3 linked regions of the Caenorhabditis elegans genome follow. The protein of the gene in region 3 interacts with the protein of the main gene of each other region in a pairwise test. Each region holds a gene or a part of one and is shown on either strand. Other genes may lie near its edges.

Region 1 (3,755 bases), on a different chromosome or scaffold from region 3:
GGAAATTTGTGATTTTTAATGGTTTCACAGATGTTTTATCGAAATATCAACTAAACATAGTCTCGCGACCCTATAAATCATGGCCACCCCACCTTTTCTCAACGTTTCCTTTATTTTCGCCGCGAAATTCTCCGATTTTACTTCTCCCTCCCCGATGTATGGTCCATCTGGAACACGATCTTCGTCCGATCGTCGTCTCGGTTCCAATTTTTTCGCTTTGTTCACACTAATTTTAGAATTTTTCGAATTTTTCCCGGGAATTTTCACATGCCGGCGCGATTCTTGAATAGAAGATGAGTCAGAACATGACTTTTCTGAAAGAAATTGTGACGCCACGTGTTTATTTTCTCCTGTTTTTCCCATATTTTCCCAAAAATAAAAGCTCACTCTTTTTCTCCTCACTGATAAGGGTGTTCACTTCTCGGTGTTCAAGTAATAAGGCCAGTTGTTGGTCTTCATATGCTCTGAAATTTATTTCTCACGATTTTCAGTGTATAAATAATTTTATTTTCTACCTCGCAATTTCCACATCTGTAACCGTATCCAAAAATTTTTGATTTTCTCTCAGTTTTTCGTTTATTTCATGCCTTCGCTGCCTTAATTTTGTTAAGTCTCCTCCATGTGGAATAGATTCAGAAGTCGTTGTAGTTGGCGTCTGAAATTATTTTTGGAATTTATCGATCGAAATTTGAACAATTGAGATACAATATTCTCGCTGACAGTGCTTTCTCGTGTAGTAAAGCAATAATTTCTATAAACAAAAAAATTAACATACGTTATCATAAAGTAGCTCATTAATAGTGGCTGAAACATCTCCATCATATTTCCGTAGAACATATTCAATATGTGAATTGCTTAGACTGGGAAACATAGCTTGAAAGTCCAGCATTGCCTGAATATTTTGAAAATTTGTTGCCAAATTTGATTCTAGACGTACTCTATCAAAATCCAATAGTTCTTCTTCTACCACACCAGATCGGTCTTCATAGTCATCATAATCCGTCATTATTTCGTTAGAAAAAGCTGAAAAATAGTGTTGAAAATGAAATGAGTCAGCATTATGAAGAAGAACGCTCGTACAAATATTAAACATTTTGGGTGGGCGGTCAAAAAGAATGAGACAGTGTTGTGTGTGTACAATGGTGATTGTATTATCGGTCTGCGGTGAGAGAGTTATGAAAAAATACAGGGAAAATAGGCAGAATTTGGAGTGAAATTGCTAGTAAACTCGGAGTTTTTTTTTTGAAAAACTGCAAGTTAGAGTCTCTAAAGTTCGGAAAAAAGCTTTCTCTGACATCATAAATGATTTTTGCTCTTTTTTACTTCAACATAGTGATTTGGGAAACCATACAAAAGATAAATGGCTTCAAAACAGGAACAATATTATGCATTTTCTGACGAAGCTAATTAATTGACGAGGAGAAACTCATAGACTTTTTATTCATAAAAACAACTTTCGAATAGATTTTCTGCATTTTCTGTTTTTACATAGTTGGCCAGTTTTACTTTTACTGCGGGAAAAGTTCTATACGATTTTTTTTCCTTTATTTAGTGTATCCATTGAGCTAGAAAATACGAAAATTTGCCTTATGTCCCGAATATATCTGTAAAAAAAAACAGTGTTTAATTTTTCAATGATTTATTCAATTTCGCTGAAATATAAATACAAAATCGGCGGAAGGGAATTTGAATTTTTGCACTTTCTGGCAAAATTCATGGATTTTTATAATTTCACTTTTCATACATTTTTAAACAAAAAATGAAATAATAGTTAAATAATCGAATTTTGAACTGATTTTAAAGTTTCCGAAATTTTATTTCAGGTCGTCAAGTTTTCTTCACAAAAAAATCAAAAAAAAAATCATGGAGCCGTTTCTTTTATTTTTGCAAAATTGAAAAAAATCATTAAAAATTCAGAAAAAGAAATCTATAGTTTTTTTTAACAGTTAAATTTGGTAAATTGAGGGAATTTTCAAAAAAAGTTCCTTTGCAATATCAGAAATTTCTTTTCCGACGAAATATTTCACACTCTCAAATATTTTTATCCGTTGCCAGAACTTCTTCTTCATAAAACTAATAATTCTTTAATTTCAGAACCACGAAACATGATGCCAACGTGGATACCTAACAATTTGTGCGCACAGCCGACAACGAGAAATGCTAAACCACCATCGAACGGGCATCCACAAGCGACACAACAACAATCTGCTCCGGGATCATTGGCATACCGTAATTCGAGCAACATACCGAATGGAGCAACCAACCACGTCAGACAACAGAAATGGCAGTACACTCGTTCAGGACATAGAAAGGTACGAATGATAAGAAAATATGAAAAAAAAAGTTGGAGAAAAATAAACAAAAACAAGCATTTTTAGAAGCTGAAAAATATTAAAATGCTCTTTGGTCAGTTGGAAAATTTGAAATTTTTGCATTGAATTTCTACATTGAATTTAAATTAGAAAGTAAAAATACATTAAAAAATTAAGTCATTCAATTTAATTGCAAAATTCACAAAACGTTTTCAAAAAAGTGCACAATGTTCAAATAATCAGAACATAGCACGTAATCGGGTTGATTTGCCCATTGTGCTCCCATTATCGGGAAAATAAGTTGCGTATTGCATCAAAACCACTAACTTTGTACTTTTATTAGCCTATTAAGACTACCGTGACAGAGTACTGTGTGTGTGTGCTGGAAGAAAAGATTAGTGATGTGACGTTGATTGGTAGTTTTTGAATTGGAAAAGAGAGAAACGGAAGTGTGAAAGTTTGAATAGCTCAATGAAAATGGTTGATTTGAATGAAAAAATTCAAATTTTAAACCAGAAATTGTGCTTTGTGTTTTAAGCTTGAAGGTTTGATGATTTTTGCAGATTGACACTTCATTGACGTATTTAGTTTATACCGGAACACCTCTTAGAATCGTAGTTTTTCAACGAAATTTGAATTTCTGCTAGTAGAAAAAAACTGTTCACAACTTGAACATTTCGTATGTATCCCAAAATGCGATACCCGGTCTCGAAACGACACATTTTTTGGTAAATGCAAATAAGTGTGCGCCTTTAAAGAGTACTGTAATTTTAAACTTTGCTGTGTAATTTTCATCAAAATTTTTCGATAAAATTTTTTTTAACCTCAAATTAAAAAAAAGGTTTTTTTTTAATTATGAGAAAAACTATTTAAAAAATCGAAACTGGGTACCGTATTTTTTGGCGTAAAAATCCTAAAATTTCGCTACTGGGTAATAGTTGTATTTTCGAGGTTCCACTACAAATTACCGTAATCTGAGTGTCCCCCAAATTGAATATATTTGCATTCTTCTAAAGTTTCCAGTTAAGACATCTAAAATCTAATAGAATTAATTGAATTGGTCGTCTGATTGACATTCCAGCGTGCAAGCGGAGATTGGAGAGAAAAACAATGTTTTTTTTTCAAACCGAAAATCAGAACTTTTAAACGAACAAGGAAAAATCGAAAAGGAGTGTTCAAATACAAGAATCCATCTTCCGGAAGTTTTCTTCGTGCGTTTGGCCTAGATGACCCAGATTTTTCCTTTTTTCCGGACTTGAGCTACAGTTTACTGTACTTTGACACGTATTCCTTTGGGAACCCCGAGGATTTACACTAATAATTGATGTTGATCTATCTTCTACCCGCTTTCCATCAACAAACTATTATTTTGAAATCCCGTTGTGTACCCGGGTGAATGACTGACAGAGGTGTGAGGTACTTTGTGTATTATTTATGTTTCTC
Region 2 (3,755 bases), on a different chromosome or scaffold from region 3:
ATCCTCGTTTTTCCTTCCGCGAGCGGCGATCATCCTTCCGCTCCCGACAGGGTTGACCTCTGCGCGTCTGCGTCTTTCATCCCATTTTTCCTCGCCCGTTCTTTTCTGAGGGAGAGAGGGAGGGAGAGAGAGAGGGAGAGAGAGAGAGGGAGAGAGAGAGAGAGAAAAGACCTTCAATCAGTTTCTGTAGTAGTCCTTCTCCTTGGGATACTGAATACTAGGTCACCATTTCAATCTCTTTTTTTTCTATTTTTTGTGTTTTTTTCTTTCTCTACCCTCTTTATTGTTCTTGTTTTCTGACCGTCACTTCGCTTTGCACCCCGTTTTTGAATTTTAAACTCCTGCTAAAAGTTATAAATACGAATGTGGGAAGATCGGCTCTTTTTGTTTGGATACTGATGAAAAGTCCTATCAGCTTAAAATCATGAATAGTTTAACAGCACCTTCTCAAGCTTGAAAAAAAGTAAATGTGCAAATGCTCTGCTCAAAGCCCCGAGTTGAAACAAAGTTGTTTACAAAATTATCTTGGTTTAGGTTTTTTGTTCAAAATATCAGTAGTGCAATTACACATTGTTTATTCTACATTTTTAGATCCATAATTTTCTAAAACAATATGATAATTCTTTCTGAATCATCTTTTTTTTCAGTTAAAGGCACTTATCGAGAATTCTTCTTCCCCCCATTTATTTTGCATATCTATTGTGCCAACATGAAATTTGCATTTCTTCCCATTTCTCTTCATTTTCCTTTCATCCAAACATCCACGTTTTCTTCCCCATTGTGCAACGTGGTGCACCATGTCACAGAGAGAGATCTAATCTCCATATTTCTTTCATATAGTTTTTCTTGAGCTTTCAGTATCAATGAACTATGCTCCAAATAAATATTGGTCGGCCTAGCACATCTATGGATGGCCTTATCGGAAGGTTTCTCTCACTTATTCTCATGACTCGCCAATTCGACTTTCACTTGTGTTTCTATCTTTTCAAAATGAAATCACACACCTCTACTTTGGTCTTCGTACCGCTTATCAGTTGTTGGGAAGGGTTTTTCTCCAATAAGGAGGGGTTTAGTGACCTTTCAAGCCTTGTTGACAATTAGCCATTATAGCGTCTAGGAAAATCTAGAACTGATAACAAATAACAAAACATCTAAAATCTAGAAACAGGAACATGTTGATCTGAAAATTGAGCAAATTGATGTTTTGTGCAACTGTGATAAGTCAGAAATTTTGATCACTTTTGATAATAGTTATTCCCCCAACAAAACATTTGAAGGTCTCAAAAACAGAGGGAGTCTCCTCATTTTTGCATTTTCGGAGCCAATTTTGAGTTGCCTTCTTCCATTCCAATTCCTTTATTAAGATGCAGATCCGATGCTAATGATATGCACTATCCATACGTCTTGTGGAATATGAATGAGGAGAGGTCGAAGACTCGGAACCCACCTCTTTTTCTTTTTATTTTTTCTCCTGCAGCTTTTCTTTGCCAATTCTTTGTACACAACTATAGTAATACAATGTGCTCAATGCGTCACTCAGTGCTTCGCCCCTTACTGTCTCCTTCTATTCGTCGATTATTCATAGAGTTCTTCGTCATCCAAAAAAAGTGTTACACATCGCTGTAATAGTTCGGACCCACGCATGCTCATGGTTTTGATATTTTCCATTGTTTATTTGAAATAATACAAAAAAATATTCGATTACCCTAATAGTTTACCAAGTCATGGAACAACCCTGTTTGTGTGCAACCAGAGCATCAGCGTTCTGTTATCAGCTGCCGGCTTTTCTTCTTTTATCACTAAAAAACCATGCCTAGTTTTTTCACCTCTCGACCCTATTCGTCTCGGTCAGGAATCTTTCTTATCTCTAGAATTTCTCCCTCTCTTCCATCACGAACTTGAAACGCGCCATTCCTATTCCTCTACCCCATCATTCTTGCAATCATTCCTCTCGTGGAAATGGGCTCGTTCGCTGAGTCGGCTGCTCTTCTGCAGGCATCGATGTCTCTTTCTCCAACACCTTCTATAATTAACAACAATAATACTGTCGATTATTCTCTATCACTCCAGATGCTCGCGGCTCCGAACGCCGTCTCATTGGCCTCTGTCAACGGTTCTGCTTCACTTCTAACTGCAACAACTGCTGGAATGAAGGCGAATAATAATTCAAATGAGAAATTACCAAGACAACAATGTTACCTGTGTGATTTGCCACGCTGGCCGTGGGCAATCATAAATGATTATATTGAGCCAGTTTGCAGAGGATGCGTCAATTATGAAGGATCAGACAGGTTTGTTTGGAAATAATGATGATGAAAATTCCTTTCGATTTTAAAATTTTCCAAAGTGAAAGTCACAAGTTTTCTTATATTGATACAGGACATGAAAATTTGACACCCTTTTTCTTATAAGACTGCAAGCTAAAAGTTTGTTCTGTAATAGATTTCCTAAAGTTTTTAAAGAATTTTTTTTTTGAAAAAAATTAGAAAAAGAACATATTTTTTTGACGATTTTTCTGCCGAAATTTTTTATAAATTGCAGGACTTCACGATCTTATAGTTTTAAAAAGGTTTCAAGACCAATTGAACTTTTTTTGTTTTTTGTCACCAAATATCTTTTTCTGTTTCAGAATTGAACTCGTACTTGAAGAAACACGCCAACAAAAGAAACTCCAAGGAGTTGGAATCAGTGATCCACAGAATGCAAAGACATCCCTCCGAGATATTACACTTACACAACAACAACCCCTTCAAACATTACCAGTCACTTCTGCTAATGGAATCGGAAGGATAAGCCCACAAAGGACACCTCAGCCAACGGTACTTCCCACGTCCCCATTCCATGTGCCAACTATGAACAACTTGGAGGTAAACATATAAAATTGAAAACTGCAATAGTTTACAAATTTATTTTCAGCAAGTTCTGACCCATCAACGACTTCTGCAAATGACACAAGCCAATCCTCGGGCGGTTGACGATCTTATTCAACAGTCTCTTCGAAGCTTGGGCCCAAATTCTCATCTCTTGGCTCCATTCATGATGAGCATGCTTCCAAGCACAACTTATTCAAATCCAAGAAAACGTGAATCTGACGAAGAGCAGAAGCCTGAAATATATGGAAAAGTGCAGAGAGGTATGTCAGTTAGAATTTAAAATTGACATCGTCCCAAAAAACCGGTTGTTGCGTAAAGTAGTAGTGCCCCCTTCTCTCTCTCCGATTAGCCCGTGTATCGTCTCTCTGTCACCCTCTCGAATTGCGTAATACCGATAGACCCGACAGAAAACCAGCCGAATTTAGAAGAATTAGAAGAAAAGAGTAGCGAGTTGAATGAGTGACCTCGAGAGAAATAAAGGGCTAGATATGGGGTCAACACTTTGAAAACGGAACCGGTTTTAGAGGATGGTAGTGTAGTTGGTTGTGGCGTCGTTGTCGGCGCCTGGCACCCAGGGTCATCACCCCCTCATCATCATCATCTTCTATTTTTCAGGCGATGCCCAAACGACAACTGCCTCGCCAACCTCAACTCATTCACCAGACCATCCGGGAGTTAAGGATCGGAGAGGGATCGCCCCAATTGAGAGAGTTTTGAGATGTACACTGTGCAATGAACGTCTAGAAGACACCCACTTTGTACAATGCCCAACAGTCAGCATTCACAAGTTTTGCTTCCCATGCTCGCGGAGCAGCATCAAGGATCAATGCAAGAGCAGTGATATGTACTGCCCATCAGGCGATAAATGTCCATTAGTCGGAT
Region 3 (3,755 bases):
CGTTTGTAATATCTGAAAACAAAAATTGTGAGATTGAAATTGTCTCTGGAACTTATTAGGGTCTTCCACAAAACCACCATAAGCTTAACAGTCACAAAGCACAAAAGAAATCCGCATATTTATTGACCTATTCTCCTTAGATAGACTAAACAAAATTTGTTGTGCATATTCCACATTTGGAAGAGTTTGAAATAAAATTCCCCGGGCTCAGGATTTAGGTTTTGAAAGTTGCCAATAACTAAGATATTCCTTTCATTGTTCTGCTTTTCAAAATAAAAATTACCTGTGGATCTGAAGGTTTCATATCATTTAGAATAAGTTCTTCCATTAACGAATCGACATTCACGAGACCGAACAAACGAGCAAGTTGGACATCTTCTACCTTTAAATTCATAAATTACTAATTTGAATAACAATTGTAACTAACCAATTGTTGAGCAATAGCCTGAAGTGATGGAAGTAATAACAAAAGCTTTCCACTTCTGCAATCCATTGATTCGTCTTCCATATTTTCAAGTGCCTTGTCAGTACACCTGAAATATATTACATTTGTTATAGAAGCTAGTATTGTCAAATAAACCTTCTCTGCAATGACCTCAAAAAAGCATATCGGGCGTTCTCCACCGGACTCTGATCGTTGATTTCTCTGACGACTGGATTGAAAAACAGAATAGCTTTCAGTGCAACATATTCAATTAAATCCATATTTAACCTCCTCATTGGATTCACAATTTCATCAATAATTCGTCCGACGACACAACTGAAATGACTGTACAAAACCTGAGAATACAGATATGAAATGAGAATATACTCACTTGATATCTCCCACTTGTGTTGCATGTTCTTTTGGAAGAAGTGTGTCATTTGCAAGGCAAATTGTATTTTCAACTGTCAGACAAATCGATCGATATGCTACTCCAAGTACAATTATTGACGCGGCACCGCCTTTGAGAAGAGCTGCCTGGAATTATGAAATTGTTGCTAGAAGTCGTCATTTTTTAAAAAAGAAAGTATGAAACAAGTAATTGCAGTATTTTCAGTATTAAACTCGCTACTATGACAGCTAAATAATATCTCTGTTGTTTTTGATTTTATCAAAAAAAAAATCATCTAACAAATATTTTTCTGAAATTTTTCATAGAAAAAAAATCATACCTGATCTGCTTGAGCCAAAAACGAGAATTGAGGTAATGACTTCGCCCATTCGATAAAAAGAACCAATTGTTGATGAATCGATTTTCCAATATCATCCAATGTGGCAGCTCTCGCATCTTCATAATTCCATTTAACTTTTCCACAGTCGTATGGTGCCTGTAAAACACGTGGATTCAATGTGATTATTGACTGAGATCAAGAGGTGAAACTAGAAAACAGATTTTTCTGGGGGCGGAAAAAGAACCACCAGGTACAAATTCCGGCATAATTAAACCGTGTTTCTTAAGTAAAGAAAATCAAGAACTTTCCAAATTGAAAGAAATCCCTCTTGACGAAATTTGAAGCACTGCGTTTAATCCCAATCAAACTTACAAGTGAAGATGTATTCTTGATTACACTGGACCTTAATTGCTGACATAATGTTTCTGCGGCAACAAGTTGATCTATCAAATCTTCTTTTTCAGCTCCCGTAGTCTTTTTCCGTTTTCCAATTGCATCCCGTTCATTTTGAATTGCTGAAATAGTACAGGCTATTTTTATAAAAAAGTATTGGAATGATCTCACCATTACTCTTCATTCCCGCTTTTACACATTTTTGAAGTCTACATGCTCGACATGCGTTCCGTTTATCTGAAATAAGAGGAAATATTACATATTTATTACATTGGAGGACCGACTTGCTTTTGGAAATTTCAGAAACCAACGGCCCAAAAACTTTAAAAACTATAAACATACTTTTGGTAACATCACAATTTTGTTCAAATCTGCATTGATAATGATATCGTTTGCGAATACTTCGTCGAAAGAATCCTTTACATCCATCACAACTGATTGCCCCGTAGTGTTTACCAGTTGATTTGTCGTTGCAAATATGACATATTTCTTCGACCATACTTTTTGTCTAAATATTTATGTAATTGTGCTCTATTAGATAATATGAATCAATAATAAAAAGTAGGAAGAAGCGGAATAGAATATTTGATGAGCAAGTTTAAATTCAAATTAGATGTCCAAAAACTAGATCTTACATAGATCTAAGCCTAGATAGGCCTACCTACGTGCCTACAAGGCAGCTTTGAAGACCACCTACTCATGAAAAGACATAATTTAATTTACAGAAATGCAGGAATAGGAAACCTAAAGCAAACCAGTGTGGCATGTTCTCTCGATATTTTTTATTTAAATTTGGTGACAGAATATATCGCATTTTTTGTTTTATTGGAAAATAACCTTTATTCGTCCGAAAAACTGTTCGAAAGTTGCAATTTGCCTAATTTTTTACCTCCATTTTCAAATTTCAGATACTATGAGAACTCCCTGGCTCATGTAGAATTACTGGTGGGCATATTCCGCGCGCCATTGGCCTGTAGGCACGTATGTCGGTATATATGTATATGCCAGGGTGGAAAACATAGAGATTTTTCAAATCTGAACATTTAATAAAGTATCTCAATTTCTAGTTGAAACTTTTCTAGAACAAAATTCTAGTTTAGTCTATCCTTCTTTGTACCCGACTTCATAAAAACTGATCTTCCTGATTTCAAATTGTCAATGATCCTTAAAACGTGTGTGAAGAACAAAAAAAGAGAGTATGAAGAAGCAGGAAAATGATTGGAAAAAGAAGAAAAAGAATACATTGTATTGGAGAGCGTATGATGGGTGTTTGATAAGAATGGCGGGAAGAAGGGGGCAAAGAAGTGACAAACATGTGAAAGAAACGACGAAAAGACAATTATAAAATGAGAGAGTGGGTAGAGAAAATGAGAAATTTATAGAAGGACTGATAAGGGTCTTGCAGAGATCGGGAATACAATATTGAAAGACGACTGTAATTTCTGGAATTTCAGTTTAAGAAAACGCAGCTCATTCGAAGTTCGAACGGGAGGGGTTGAGAATGATTTGGTTCATTTACAGGTTTTACAAATCCCGGGCTTCCGAACTCATGTCTAGAAATGGAAGAGCTGGTCGCGATGGATTTACGCAGTCTCTCGAGGAGAATAGGATTTTTCAATTTTCAGCTGAATTTTTCGAGCATTTTTGCTAAATTTTTTGAATTTAACATTAAAACTCGCCTGGTTGACTTATTTAGATAGATTCGGTTAAAATCAACGTAGTTAATGTCAAAAACTATCAAAAAAATGAATCTTTATAGTTTTTGTTTTTTGATGTTTGTTTTTTGATTTTGACAAACTGATTTTTACTTGAAATAATATGAATATGAAGAGTTATGGAAAACAACAGATATCTCAAAAATGTGATTTATTGTAATTTTAATAGCTTCTCACATTTTCCGTTCTTTCCGATGGTCACCTTGTACCGTACTTTACAAGCGAATGTATTGGACACTACTGCTACAGTAACCCTTTTTTGACTCCCATTCTGAAAAACCCGGCTTATGAACTGTCGGGTATTATTGCGCCGAAAATACGGTAGCCGGTCTCGGCACGACAAACTTTTGTTAAATTCTTATTTTTATAAATTTCCCATGAGATTGTGTTTTTCACTCGTGTATTTTCTCAGTTTCTCTGTTAATTTTTATCATTTTTTTTGTCGTGTCAAGACCCGGCACCGTATCTTTCGCTCAAAAATCGCAAACATTG

The links.
Region 1: the proteins of nhr-69 (region 3) and mpk-1 interact in a two-hybrid assay, tested with the Caenorhabditis elegans proteins (3 studies listed by BioGRID).
Region 2: the proteins of nhr-69 (region 3) and ifbp-1 interact in a two-hybrid assay, tested with the Caenorhabditis elegans proteins (2 studies listed by BioGRID).

What each region holds. Positions count from the first base shown.
Region 1 is NC_003281.10:4,226,448-4,230,202, reverse strand, and holds the start of mpk-1 (Mitogen-activated protein kinase mpk-1), read left to right. Parts: upstream 1-2,108; coding exon 2,109-2,312; intron 2,313-3,755. Other genes in the region: F43C1.5 (uncharacterized protein), read right to left, coding at 93-314, 388-464, 516-655, 776-892, 938-1,006. UniProt on the Caenorhabditis elegans protein: Functions in let-60 Ras signaling pathway; acts downstream of lin-45 raf kinase, but before the lin-1 gene product in controlling vulval cell differentiation. Plays a negative role in proximal germline proliferation in the mitotic zone.
Region 2 is NC_003283.11:13,371,103-13,374,857, reverse strand, and holds the start of ifbp-1 (Interferon regulatory factor 2-binding protein 1 & 2 zinc finger domain-containing protein), read left to right. Parts: upstream 1-1,837; 5' UTR 1,838-1,959; coding exon 1,960-2,291; intron 2,292-2,629; coding exon 2,630-2,867; intron 2,868-2,916; coding exon 2,917-3,133; intron 3,134-3,488; coding exon 3,489-3,755.
Region 3 is NC_003279.8:9,879,447-9,883,201, forward strand, and holds the start of nhr-69 (Nuclear hormone receptor family member nhr-69), read right to left. Parts: upstream 2,059-3,755; 5' UTR 2,048-2,058; coding exon 1,891-2,047; intron 1,786-1,890; coding exon 1,720-1,785; intron 1,671-1,719; coding exon 1,528-1,670; intron 1,312-1,527; coding exon 1,156-1,311; intron 962-1,155; coding exon 816-961; intron 761-815; coding exon 581-760; intron 534-580; coding exon 428-533; intron 383-427; coding exon 284-382; intron 13-283; coding exon 1-12. UniProt on the Caenorhabditis elegans protein: Orphan nuclear receptor which, in cooperation with R-SMAD daf-8, modulates the Insulin/IGF-1-like signaling (IIS) pathway, perhaps by regulating expression of the potassium channel exp-2, which in turn modulates the secretion of insulin-like peptide daf-28.